Linked DNA regions of Canis lupus familiaris. The protein of the gene in region 2 interacts with the protein of the main gene of each other region in a pairwise test. Links are inferred from orthologs where the notes say so. Each region holds a gene or a part of one and is shown on either strand. Other genes may lie near its edges.

The links. The genes of interacting proteins can lie anywhere in the genome.
Region 1: the proteins of CEP63 (region 2) and PCNX4 interact in a two-hybrid assay, tested with the Homo sapiens proteins (2 studies listed by BioGRID and IntAct). The link is inferred for Canis lupus familiaris from reciprocal best matches to the Homo sapiens genes CEP63 and PCNX4.
Region 3: the proteins of CEP63 (region 2) and ARFIP2 interact in binary tests that used the Homo sapiens proteins (3 or more experiments, as listed by UniProt). The link is inferred for Canis lupus familiaris from reciprocal best matches to the Homo sapiens genes CEP63 and ARFIP2.

Annotation. Positions count from the first base shown.
Region 1 is NC_049229.1:35,488,282-35,492,541, forward strand, and holds the start of PCNX4 (pecanex-like protein 4), read left to right. Parts: upstream 1-1,423; 5' UTR 1,424-1,666; intron 1,667-4,260.
Region 2 is NC_049244.1:31,806,265-31,809,909, forward strand, and holds part of CEP63 (centrosomal protein of 63 kDa), read left to right. Parts: intron 1-904; coding exon 905-1,044; intron 1,045-1,874; coding exon 1,875-2,012; intron 2,013-3,645. UniProt on the Homo sapiens protein: Required for normal spindle assembly.
Region 3 is NC_049242.1:30,303,492-30,307,617, reverse strand, and holds the start of ARFIP2 (arfaptin-2), read left to right. Parts: upstream 1-1,289; 5' UTR 1,290-1,440; intron 1,441-2,198; 5' UTR 2,199-2,240; coding exon 2,241-2,339; intron 2,340-2,595; coding exon 2,596-2,692; intron 2,693-3,455; coding exon 3,456-3,574; intron 3,575-3,757; coding exon 3,758-3,979; intron 3,980-4,126. Other genes in the region: TIMM10B (mitochondrial import inner membrane translocase subunit Tim10 B), read right to left, coding at 514-690, 832-927, 1,103-1,147. UniProt on the Homo sapiens protein: Plays a role in constitutive metalloproteinase (MMP) secretion from the trans Golgi network. May have important functions during vesicle biogenesis at certain cargo subdomains, which could be predominantly utilized by secreted MMPs, such as MMP7 and MMP2.

The DNA.
Region 1 (4,260 bases), on a different chromosome or scaffold from region 2:
TTTGAAGACAAGTGTAGGTACATCATTGAAACTGCATAGGGAGGCAGCCCAGGTGGCTCAGCGGTTTAGCTCCACCTTCAGCCCAGGGCGTGACCCTGGAGACCCGGGATCGAGTCCTATGTTGGGCTCCCTGCATGGAGCCTGCTTCTCCCTCTGCCTATGTCTCTGCCTCTCTCTCTCTCTCTCTCTGAATAAATAAACGTAAAAAAGAAAAAAAAATGCACAGGGTTGTCTTCCACACACGTAAAATAAACTACACTTTCCCTCTGAATAGAGTAGTATCTTTTGTATATAGGTATCTATATCTATAGAGTAGTACCTTTTACATATATTTATATCTATATATAAAAGAATGCTTTGGCTTTCTTTTCATATTAGCACAAAAAGTCGTCCTATTATGGCCTGAAAACCTAGATATTTAAGAACTAAGACATCATCTCCAGGAAAGCCAGAAAACAAACAAAGGCTGCATTTACAGCCTTGAGGTTAAAGAGACCCAAACAAGGCCGTCCTGGAGCGCTCAGGAGTCCCAAGTAGGCACAACTGCTAGAGTGTCAATCACTTAGGGAAACCCAAGTACCTCAATACTGACAAATGGGCTTCAGAGTTCCCTCAAAGAGCCTCTAAATCACTGGAGACCAATGAACCAGTTTAACGCTCTAAGGGGCCGCCTCGTGGGCTTCCAACTGGCAATCTGGAAGATGTCCAGAACACGGGCAAGGACTCTAACTCCATTGGGCGTGTAACTTTAAACCAGCAAAACTGGGACTGGGACTGGGACTCTGTGGCCACCCTGTAGAGACTCCCGCATCTTAAACTGCCTCTAAGTACAACAGTCCGCCACGGGGTTTGGTTTTGTTATTGTTTTGTTCCGATTAGGATACGGGGGGGGGGGGGGGCAGGGGGGGCTTTGCCTTATTAAACAGACGCCTCCTTAGTGGCAATGACGCAGTGAAGGACACCGCTGGCACATCGACTCAGCTCCAATCTTCCAAGCCGAAGAGGACGTAGGAAGCGGCCCTTAAAAGCAAGCATCACCCGCGGCGAGCGGCGGAGGGACAGGCAAAGCGCGGACGCGGTTAGCGGAAGTCGGCGGGCAGACCCCCGGGAAGCCAAAGCTCGCGAAATGGCGGCCGCACGCACGTCAATCGGCCGGAAAGCGCCACCCGCCCCTCGGACACGTCACGTCACCAGGGAAACGGCGCTCTTGCGTAGGGGCGGGGCTCCGGGTGAAAGTGCACGGCTGAGGCTGAGCCCCTTCTCTCTCGTCCGGGTGGAGGCCTCGCGGCCCCGGGGGCGGCCGGAACTCGAGAGGCTCCCGCCGCCCGCAGTCGCGGGTTGAGGAGGGAGCGTGGGCCTCTCCCGCCAGCCCCGCCTCGCCCCGCCCAGCCGCCGAGCGGGGAAGCGCCCCTGAGGCGAGCGCAAGCCGAGGGGCGGGGCGAGCCCTCGGCGGCGGCGGAGCGCGCGGGAGTTGACGTTAGCCATGGAAACGCGGAGCGGGCTCCGGAGCGAGCGCGGGGAGCTGGCGGCGCGGCCGCCCGCGCTTCTCCGCCTCCGCGTTCGGGTCGCAGGGAGCCTCCGGGCGGCGTCGCCCACCCCGGGTTTACCTGCAGAAATGCAGTTCCCGGGATTCCTTCGCCTCGCCTCTTCCCTCGGGTGACTCGAGGTACGTTTGATTCCCCGTCACCCACCTGGGGACTTCTTGCCCACCTTGATTTCCAAGCCCGTGCAGAGCTACGCGTTTCTTTGCAGTTTTGATTCCCACAGATTTCCTCGTTCTTCGTTATACGACCTTTAAGTGCGGTTATTGCGCTTTTTAGACAGAAGGTGAACTCAGTGGCTGGAGGAATCTATACAGTGGGACTTTAACTTTCTTTCGAACGAGTGCTGTAGCCCGTTGAGTTGCCGCGTTTTGTTTCTAAGAGATGCTTGCGAAATGGACAATGGCCCATTGCGTCTTGATTTAGTGATGTCCTTGTTATTCTCAATAAAGTTTGTGAATTGCGTCCCTAGGGTAATACTGCGCTCATTCCTTACCTCCAGCTAAACCACTTTTGCCCAAACGTAGTCAGCTTCTGGCCCCTTGAACATGAATGACCATCTGCTGGTCTCTTCACAACCCTATCAAGGACCAGCGTTTACTTCAGTGAAATCTGCAGCAACAGAGGTTGTTTATCAGACCTGTGGAGTGATTATCTGGGTGGGTTTTTTTTTTTTTAAGATTTTATTTTATTTATTCACGAGAGACACAGAGAGAGAGAGAGAGAGAGGGGCAGAGACACAGGCAGAGGGAGAAGCAGGCTCCATGCAGGGAGCCCGACGTGGGACTCGATCCCGGGTCTCCAGGGTCACTCCCTGGGCTGAAGGCGGCGCTAAACCGCTGCGCTTCGCGGGCTACCCTGATTATTTGTTCTTTACCAACCATTTCTCTTTTATTCAACTATATAATGTTAGGTGAGGGTTTTTTTTTTTTTTTTAAATCATTCTTACGATTAGGGTAAAGGCTATCCTTTATATTATTGAGTGTCCACTGCCACCCATGCCAAATCTCCAAACCTTTATCGTAACATCCAGAGCCAGACTCATGACCAGAGATACTGCCATTTTAATAATTTAACTGGGGATCCCTGGGTGGCGCAGCGGTTTGGCGCCTGCCTTTGGCCCAGGGCGCGATCCTGGAGACCCGGGATCGAATCCCACGTCGGGCTCCCGGTGCGTGGAGCCTGCTTCTCCCTCTGCCTATGTCTCTGCCTCTCTCTCTCTCTCTCTGTGACTATCATAAATAAATAAAAATTTAAAAAAATATATTTAATAATTTAACTGAGACATCTGTCAGCCACTCTTAAGTTTCCTTCGAGTTATTAGACAAGACCTGGTTGGGGAACTTATCTGTTTTTTTTTTTTCTTTTGTTAAGAACTTTGTTGAAATATAATTCACATTCCGTATAATTCACTCATTAAAAGTGAAGTCACTCATTAAAAGTGTACATTACACATTTTTGGATGTATTAAACATTTTTAAAAGTGTACAGTTGTTTTTAGTATATTCAGAGAATTGTGCAGTTATAACTACAGTTAATTTTAGAACATTTCATCCCCCTTCAAAAAAGCCCTGTACCCTTTAGGATTATTCCCTCCCGTCTTTGTCACTATCTCCTCCAGCCTTAGGCAAACATTAACCTGTTCTTTTGTCTTTATAGATTTGCATGTTCCACACATTTCATATAAATGAAAGCAGACAACATCAACATGTGGCCCTTTGTGATTGTCTTCTTCCACTTAGCATTCAGTTTTCAAGGTTCATCCATGTTGTAGCATATGTCAGGACTTCATACTTGTTTGTAGCCTAATAATATTCCGTCGAGTGGATTTATTACATTTTATTCATCTGTTAGTGGACGTTTCGGGTGTTTCCACTTCTTGACTATTCATATTTTTGCTGTGAATGTTCCTATACAGATTTTTGTGTAGTCTTATATTCTTATTTTTCTTAGGTGAATACCCAGGAATAGAATTGCTAGGTCATATGGTAACTCTAAGTTTAGCCTTTTTAGGAACTGCCAGACTAGTTTTGAAGGCAGCTGGGCCATTTTAGCTTGCGACTTGCGGGTTCTATTTTTTCCACAATCTCAACAATACTTGTTATTGTCCATCTTTTTCATAACCAGTCAAGTGGGTTTGAAGTGATAACTCATGGATTTGGTTTGCATTTCTCTTTTCTGATGTGGAGCATTGTCTTGTGTGATTATTGGCTATTTGTATATTATCTTTGGAGAAATGTCTATTTTAATCCTTTAAAGTGACTTGTTTTTTTCACCATTGAGTTATAAGGGTTCCTTATATATTCTAGGTGTAAGTCCCATATCATATATGTGATTTGCAAAATGTTTCTTTCCATTCTATGGGTTGTTTTCATTTTCTTAATAGTGAGAACCTTTTTCTTCTAGACACTTTCCCACTTGTTAACTCTTGTTGAGTCTTGCTTGCATGCCAGTGTCGTCATGCCGGCTTAGCTGACAAAAGTTTCCCATTTGACATTTTGGAGATTCCTCTTAGGCCTTCTTTTCCCTGAAAACTCTTTCTCTCAAATTACCTTCTATTTTTTCTAGCCTCAAAAAATAAAATTCCCTTTCATTTGTCAATGACTTAGTATGACTGAAAAACTCAGGCACCAACTGACGTGGTGTGTTGGTTAAGTCACTTAATTTCACTGGTTCTCAGTTTTCTGTTAAGTAAGTTGGTTTACTTCTAGTACTCCAT
Region 2 (3,645 bases):
GCCTTTTATTTCTTTTTATTGTCTGATTGCTGAGGCTAGGACTTCCAGTACTGTGTTGGATAGTGGACATCCAGGCCATGTTCTTGGCCTTAGGGGAAAAGTTCTCAGTTTTTCCCCATGGAGAATGATATTCACCATGGGCTTTTCATATCATTGTGTTTTGATTTGTATTTCACTGATGCCGAGTGATGTTGAGCATTTTTTCATGTATCTGTTGGACATTTGTATGTCTTCTTTGGAGAAATGCCTGTTCATGTCTTCTGCCCATTTCTTGCCTGGATTTTTTGTTTTTTGGGTGTTGAGTTTGATAAATTCTTTATGGATTTGGGTTACTAGCCCTTTATTTAATAAGAGATTTGCAAATATTTTCCCCCATTCTGTAGGTTGCCTTTTAGTTTTGCTGTTTCCTTTGCTGTGCAAGCTCTTTATCTTGATGAAGTCCTTATAGTTCATATTTGTCTTTGTTTCCCTTGCCTTTGGAAATGTGTCTAGCAAAAGGTTACTGTGGCCAGGGTCAAAGAGGTTGCTGCTTGTGTTCTCTTCTAGGATTTTGATGGATTCTTGTCTCTCATTTAGGTCTTTTATCCATTTTGAGTCTATTTTTGTGTATGGCATAAGAAAGTGGTCCAGTTTCATTCTTCTATATGTGACTGTACAATTTTCCCAACACTGTTTGTTAACTAACTAGAATTTAAATAAGAACTTAAAAAAAATTAACCTAGAACCCAGTTCAAGAATCCATGGTTTCTTTTCTACTCTGTAGCTAATGGATCAGACATTGATAGCCTTATTAACAATAAGGGTTCTGTACCTTGTACCTGTTAGACTTGACTCCCTGGCTTCCTATTCTCATGAAATGGAAACATTGTAAATGACATCTGACTTTTTTCTGAGTATTTTTTAGATTCTGCAGGAAGAAAAGAGAGAATTAAAAGCAACTCTTCAGTCTCAAGAAAATTTCATGCATGAGGAAAGAATGCAAAAGGAGAAGCTACAAGCAAAGTTAAAGCCAGCTGACACTCAACACTCAGTAGAGGCCATAAGGTATATTTAATCTTAAATATTAATTGTAGCCACCTGGTGGTTTGGCATTGAGCACCAGTTTTAGTATTACATATTCATAATTTTGTGTTTGATCATGTTATGGGTTTTCTTATTCGGTTTTAATTTCTGAGTTAAATTTTTATGGTTTTATAAAATTTTGTGTGATTTGGGGGTTTTTTTTTTTTTGGCTCCAATTTGGGTCCCTAACCAAAAGACTGTAAAAATAGAAACCAGTTGGTCAAATCTATACCCTCGGTGAAACTTCAAATGTGAAAGGATTTGGAATCCATGTCTCGTGGAAGGTCTCTGTTTCTTGGTAGAATAGGTCATGATTAGTAACTGCTTATCAACATCATTAAAAACCAGCTATCGAAATGGCTAATTTTTAAAAAAATCCTAAAACACATTTTGTTCCTATGTGTGAATTATTTCCGTGAGGTTTGTAGTGGAAAGTAATAGAAGGAGCTATGCTCCTTTTGTTTGATTTAGGTCTGGTACGCGTTTCTATTCTTGCCAGAACTTTTCTGTAACTTTTCAGTTTCTTTGGCTCAAGGTATCGAGTGGAAACAAAAGTTTTGTCATTTTGTCTTTTTCCCTTGAAAAATGGGCCAAATCCTAGTTGAGAAAGGAGTAAACTGCTGCTGACTTTTTTGAGAAGCATCATTTCTTCAGCTCTTTAGTCTAAGTGTTCTTTTCATGAAGCAGGAGACAAGCTGAAGAGTTCCAAAGAGTTTCATTACCAAAAACAATAGGAAAATATGAACTAATTGTGCATTGTTTTATTTGCAAAGATCAGAGGCCTTTAACCATCCTCCTCTGTCCTTTTTTAGGTCACTGCAGGAGTCACAGACAGCACAGAGGTACACCTCACAAGGACAGGGGGACTTAGGCAATGTGCTGTCCCAGCTGGATTTCACCCACAGTAGTGAAGAACTTCTGCAGGCAGAAGTGACTCGTTTGGAAGGCAGGTAGATAATTACATGCCCATTTCAAGAATGTTCAAGTTGTTAAAAATTATTTTTGATCATCATATTGATAAAGTAAAGTAATGTAACAGTCTTAGGGAAGGGGTGCCTGGGTGTCTCATTGGTTAAGCATCTGACTTTTTTTTTTTTAAGATTTTATTTAGTTATTTATGAGAGACACAGAGAGAGAGAGGAAGAGACAAGGAAGAGACTCCTTGCAGGGAGCCCGTTATGGGACTTGATCCCAGGATTCCGGATCACGTCCTGAACCAAAGGCCAGATGCTCAACCACTGAGCCACCCAGGCTCCCAGCATCTGACTCTTGATTTTGGCTCAGGGTCATGAGATTGAGCCCTGAGTCAGGTTCTACATTCAGTGGAGAGTCTGCCTGTCCCTCTCCCTCTGCCCCTCTCCCCACTTGTGCACACTCACTCTGTCTCTTAAATAAATAAATAAAATCTTTGAAAAAAATAATCTTAGTAAAAAAATAAGTTTTTTTTTTTCTCTAGCATCCACAGATAAAACAGAAGCAATGAAAGGAGGGCTTCCTAATTTTTCTACCACCAAATCTACCAGTCTATCTGCATCTGTGCCCATAGTCTGTTAGAGTGGATGAGTTGATGATGGATGACATGTCTCTTCCCCTAAGACTTCACTCACGTCCTTTTGCACAGTTTTTTATTTTCTTTTTACATCATCAAGTTCTGCCTCACTGCTAAATCATTCCTACTGATATAAAGTAAGCTTTAATATTTCCCATATTGCAAAAAAATCGAAACCATCCTTGAATCCTATATCCCTATCAAATTATTTCCATATTTCTCTGCTCTCCTTCAAAATCAGATTCTTCAAAAGAGTTGTCTATACTGACTATATTAATTTTAATTTTACATTTTCCTGTGTAGAACATCTTCAGTTAGGCTCTGCCCTCTACCAGCCACCTCACTGGAGCTGCTCTCAGCAAAGCCATACCTGGCACATGGTGCTCCTTACTTCCATCCCAAAGTGCTGTCAATTATTTCCTTGGCTGCCGTTTGAATCCACATCTCTGCTATAGCATGCCCAGCTCACTTGCTTCGTCATCATACTTGTAAACTTCTGTTTTGTTTGTCATACCTCTAAACTTTGTGACTGGGAAGAGGTTGATATTTTGTTTTAAATGCGAATTGTGCTCATTTGTATACTAACATTTTCTATATGTAAAAGGTTTAAAAATATATGAATTATTAGCCTTTAGACAACAAAAATATTGCCATTTTACCCTTTCAAGTTTATCTTTAGGTGATACTTTTTTTTACTTTTTATTTCTGTTTTTGGAAATCATCAGATATTTTCTTTACATATTAAATACTATGCACACACATAGTTTTTGCTTTATTTGTTCTGTACCTTAGAATACTTAAGATATTCTTGGTTATCGTTATTGAGGTGGATATATGCACTTTATATTGAATAAAATAAAGTTTATTATTCTTTCTTTTGAGAGAGAGAGAGCATGAGCAAGGGAAGGTGGGATATGGAGGGCAGAAGGAGAAGGAGAATCTTAAGCAGGGTCCACCATGCTCAGCACCAGCCCGATGTGGGGCTTGATGTCACAGCCCTGAGATCATGACCTGAGCTGAAATTAGTCTTGATT
Region 3 (4,126 bases), on a different chromosome or scaffold from region 2:
GAAAGAATTAAGTAAGATGCACCTGGGTGGCTCAGCCATTGAGCGTCTGCTTTTGGCTCAGGGTAGGATCCTGGGGTTCTGGGATCAAGTCCGGCATCGGGCTCCCCACAGGGAGCCTCTGCTTCTCCCTCTGCCTATGTCTCTGCCGCTCTCTGTGTGTCTCGTGAATAAATAAACTCTTTACAAAAGAAAAAATTGTACCCACAGGCCTTGTTTTAACCAGGTGCCAGGAAATGTTGAGGTTTTCCTTCTACACATAGAAGCCAATTTCTCCACTGCCAGGGCTGAAGCCAACAGATATGCGCTGACAGGATAAAGGATGGGGCCAATAAAGCGGGCAAAGCTTCCGTGCCCAGAACATAAATCAAACAGTGCAAAAGTGGGTTTATTGGCTCCAAGAAAAGGAGCAATACTACCCAGCTGTCAGACAACCCCTCACTCTATATATGGGCTGCATCCAGCCCAAGGTCCACTGGCTCCTTCAGTTTGAGGGTCCATCCAGCGCCTCCCTTCCTAGCTGCCTGATGGTGAGGTTCCGGGCTGTTCTGCAGCAACACCTGGCCCAGCTGAGGCAGCCTCGTAGTCTGCGATGCGGCGCTGTACCAGAGCCGGCATGAGCTGCACGTAAGCGGCCATGAGGCGGTGGTTGGAATGGATCAGCTTCCCAGCACAGCTGTGCAGACAGGCCTCCTGGAAGGAAGACAGGGTGAAGCATTGGTGTCCACTGGTGTCCGTCCCATCCCTGGCCCAGGGGCAAGGGTCATGGAAAGGCCCGGGCCAGAGGTAGGGGCGGTGGAGGTTGGGGACAGTCTACGGCGAACCCCACCTAACCTCTTCAGCGTCCAGAGCTCGGTGGTGCAAGCTGGGCACGCAGCGCTGGAAGCAGAGTTCCGTCATCCGATTGTAGACCAACAGGAAGTCCCGCAACTAGGAGAGAAGGGGACAAAGAGCCCAGCGATAAGGGGGCACCTCGAGGCCGCGCCCTCGAGGTTTCCCAGGACGGCGCGCCAGAGCGCGACGTTCCCAACCCTCCGCCCTCCAGCCAAACGGACGAAGATGCCAGCTGAACTGATGGCCCCGTCGCGACTTAGCACCCACTCACGTTCCTCAGCTGCTGCTGCTGCTGCTGCTGCTGCTGCGGCTCCATCGCGCCACCGGCGCACGCACGTCACTTCCGCACAGCCTCTTGGTAACGCCCCGGAAGTGACCTCTCCTGGCTCCCCGGGGACTGAGGGGTTGCCTCAAGGATCGCCCCGCCCCTGGCTTTAACGTCATCTCCGCCCTTATAGTCTGCGACGTGGCCGGCTTCTTCTGCCCGGGAGGGGACGTCACTTCCGCCGAGTCCCTGACCTGCTGCTAGGATCGCGACGGGAACTGGAGCCCGAGGTCCCCGCGCGGCCCGGGCCTGGCGCCCTGAGGGGAAGAGCGGCCCGGCCCGAGGTGAGAAGGACATACTTGGGCAAGGGGAAGTTGAATGCACGAGCCTGCCCCGAGGGAAAGATGCTACAGAGCCCTGGGGAAGGATGAGGACACACCTGATGCCCAGGTGTGGGGTGGGGGGGGGGCGGGGACTAACACACCTGGGGGACATAACTGACTTTGGAAGGGATCACTATGTGCTGGGAAAATGTGGCTTTTCCCAGAGGCCAAGAACGGACACCAACTGATTCAACTAGGGCCTGCAGGGGGAGGGCTGCAGGAGGAGGGGGTGCATGGGATGGAGGAGGGAGAGACCACCTGAAGGAAAGGGGAAGCAACCCTAAGGGAGTGTGAGAGGCCAAGCAATGGAGAACATACCAGAGCGGGAGGAGTAGGCTCCTGAGCCCTGGAAAGGGGTTAATCTGATGGGAGGAAACAGCTGCATGGGGGTAAGTTCCAAAACAGCACAGACTTTCTCTCCCTTGGCCACTGCTGTGACCTCAAATAGTAGTCTGTTGAATGGTTGAACGCATGAGTGATCACCTGAGTCCTGGTGGGGTTGGGGGTCCGTGAGAAGATACTGGGGACCTGGGTGTGCATGTGGAAAGATACACACCCTGGAGGGGAGAAATACATATCTACGAGAAGAAAGGAGTGGTGGCCGAACCCCAGGATACTCAAGTCTTGGGACAACCTCTAAAATCTCTGAAATGGTGGGGGAGACTTTTCTTTCGGGAGTACTGGCTAGTTTCCAGAACTGTCTGTGTTGGGCTTTGCAGGGCGCTGGGGTGGAGACTTTGACTCCAATCCCTTCCCTAGCCATGACGGACGGGATCCTAGGGAAGGCAGCCACAATGGAGATCCCCATCCACGGGAACGGTGAAGCCGGGCAGCTTCCTGAGGATGATGGGCTGGAGCAGGTGCTTCTGTTTGATTCTTCTCCATATTGTTTCAATTTAGGAGTCCAAAATCATAAGCCCTGGGCTCTCACCCCATTCCAGGAGTTTTCCCCTAACTTATCTAACTCCCTCCAATCTTTACATATCTTCATTCTGATTCTATGCAGACTTCCCTTGTGTGCTCTCTCTGTGATGCTTCAATCCAAGCTTGTTCTCACCCCCCAAATGCTTCAGCTGCCCCAATGTTCCTGAAGCCCCCCTCTTCTCTGGCCTATAGGACCTCCAGCAGGTGATGGTGTCAGGACCCAACCTCAATGAAACCAGCATTGTGTCTGGTGGCTATGGGGGCTCTGGTGATGGACTCATCCCCACAGGTATGAATGATCAGAACAGGACAGGAAGCTTGAATGGACAGAGGGAGTGGAATGGTTCTGGGGAGTATAGGATATGCCTAAGATAGCTTGAACTATGTCTGGAGATTTTGGGAACTCTTGCTAGTACAAGCCCAATGGACTCTACTCAGCCCAAGGCTAGAGCCTAGGGCTGTCCAACTGCTCCCGCTTGCCATTTAGCCCTGAGATGTGTCCATTTGTCCTTTCTTTGCTGCCACCACCTGAATCACATTACGAACTGTTTTGCAGAAGTTCTCCTGCTTTGGAGCTTGAGACTTATTTGGAACTCTGAAGCTTCTCAAAGTTTTGCTTCAGATTCTCAAGTTTAGAGAAGCAAATAGCCCTGAATTTCACACTGACTAGGATTCCACATGAGAACGTCAATGAGATTTCCTATTGTCAGGAACCCACCATCCTTGACCTGCCACCCAATACTCAGCATATTTTCTTCTGTTTTCTCTGCCCCTGTACATCAGCAACTCCCTCCCTCCCCCCACTCCAGCCCCCATCACCATCTCAGGAGGAGGCCAGATATATATTGGGATTTGGGTTTCAGGGCACAAGGTATGAGTTCTTCCTAGTGAGTAGGAGAATTTCTAGTTTCTGCTACTTCAGAGAAGTCATTTTCATGGTGGGAAGTCGGTGGAAAGTCATTTCATAGTGGGGTCGGTGGGAAGTATGGGTGGAGCCACAGAGATGTCTGGTTATATCAGAGAGGCTGGTGTCAAAGAACTTGGTTCTTTAGGGTCTGGCCGCCATCCATCTCACAGTACCACTCCTGCTGGCCCGGGAGATGAGGTGGCTCGGGGCATCGCTGGAGAAAAGTTTGACATCGTCAAGAAATGGGGCATCAACACATATAAGGTGGGATTTAAGCACCTTTCCCTTTCCCCTTCCCCAGACTTCCCCTGGGTACCTTTTCCCCATCTTCCAGATTCCACTCTCCCATCCTTGTCTGAGACGAGGAGCCTTGGGATGCTAGGGTAGATACCTGTTGGGGGGGCAGGGTGCTAGGGTCTCTGACCTATTCCCCCACTTCCCAATCAGTGCACAAAGCAGCTGTTATCAGAGCGATTTGGCCGAGGCTCCCGGACTGTGGACCTGGAGCTAGAGCTGCAGATTGAGTTGCTGCGTGAGACGAAGCGCAAGTATGAGAGTGTCCTGCAGCTGGGCCGGGCACTGACAGCCCACCTCTACAGCCTGCTGCAGACCCAGCATGCACTAGGTGACGCCTTTGCTGACCTCAGCCAGAAGTCCCCAGAGCTTCAGGTGCCTTGGTCAGGCCAAAGAGGGTGGGGGGACTGGGCCCGGGCCCTCCCAGGCAGTCAGCCCTCAGCCTCCCTCCCTCCCTCCTGCAGCCCAGAGGGAGAACCCCTCCAGGGTAGGCCCAGCCCTACCCCCAGCAGCACTCACCTG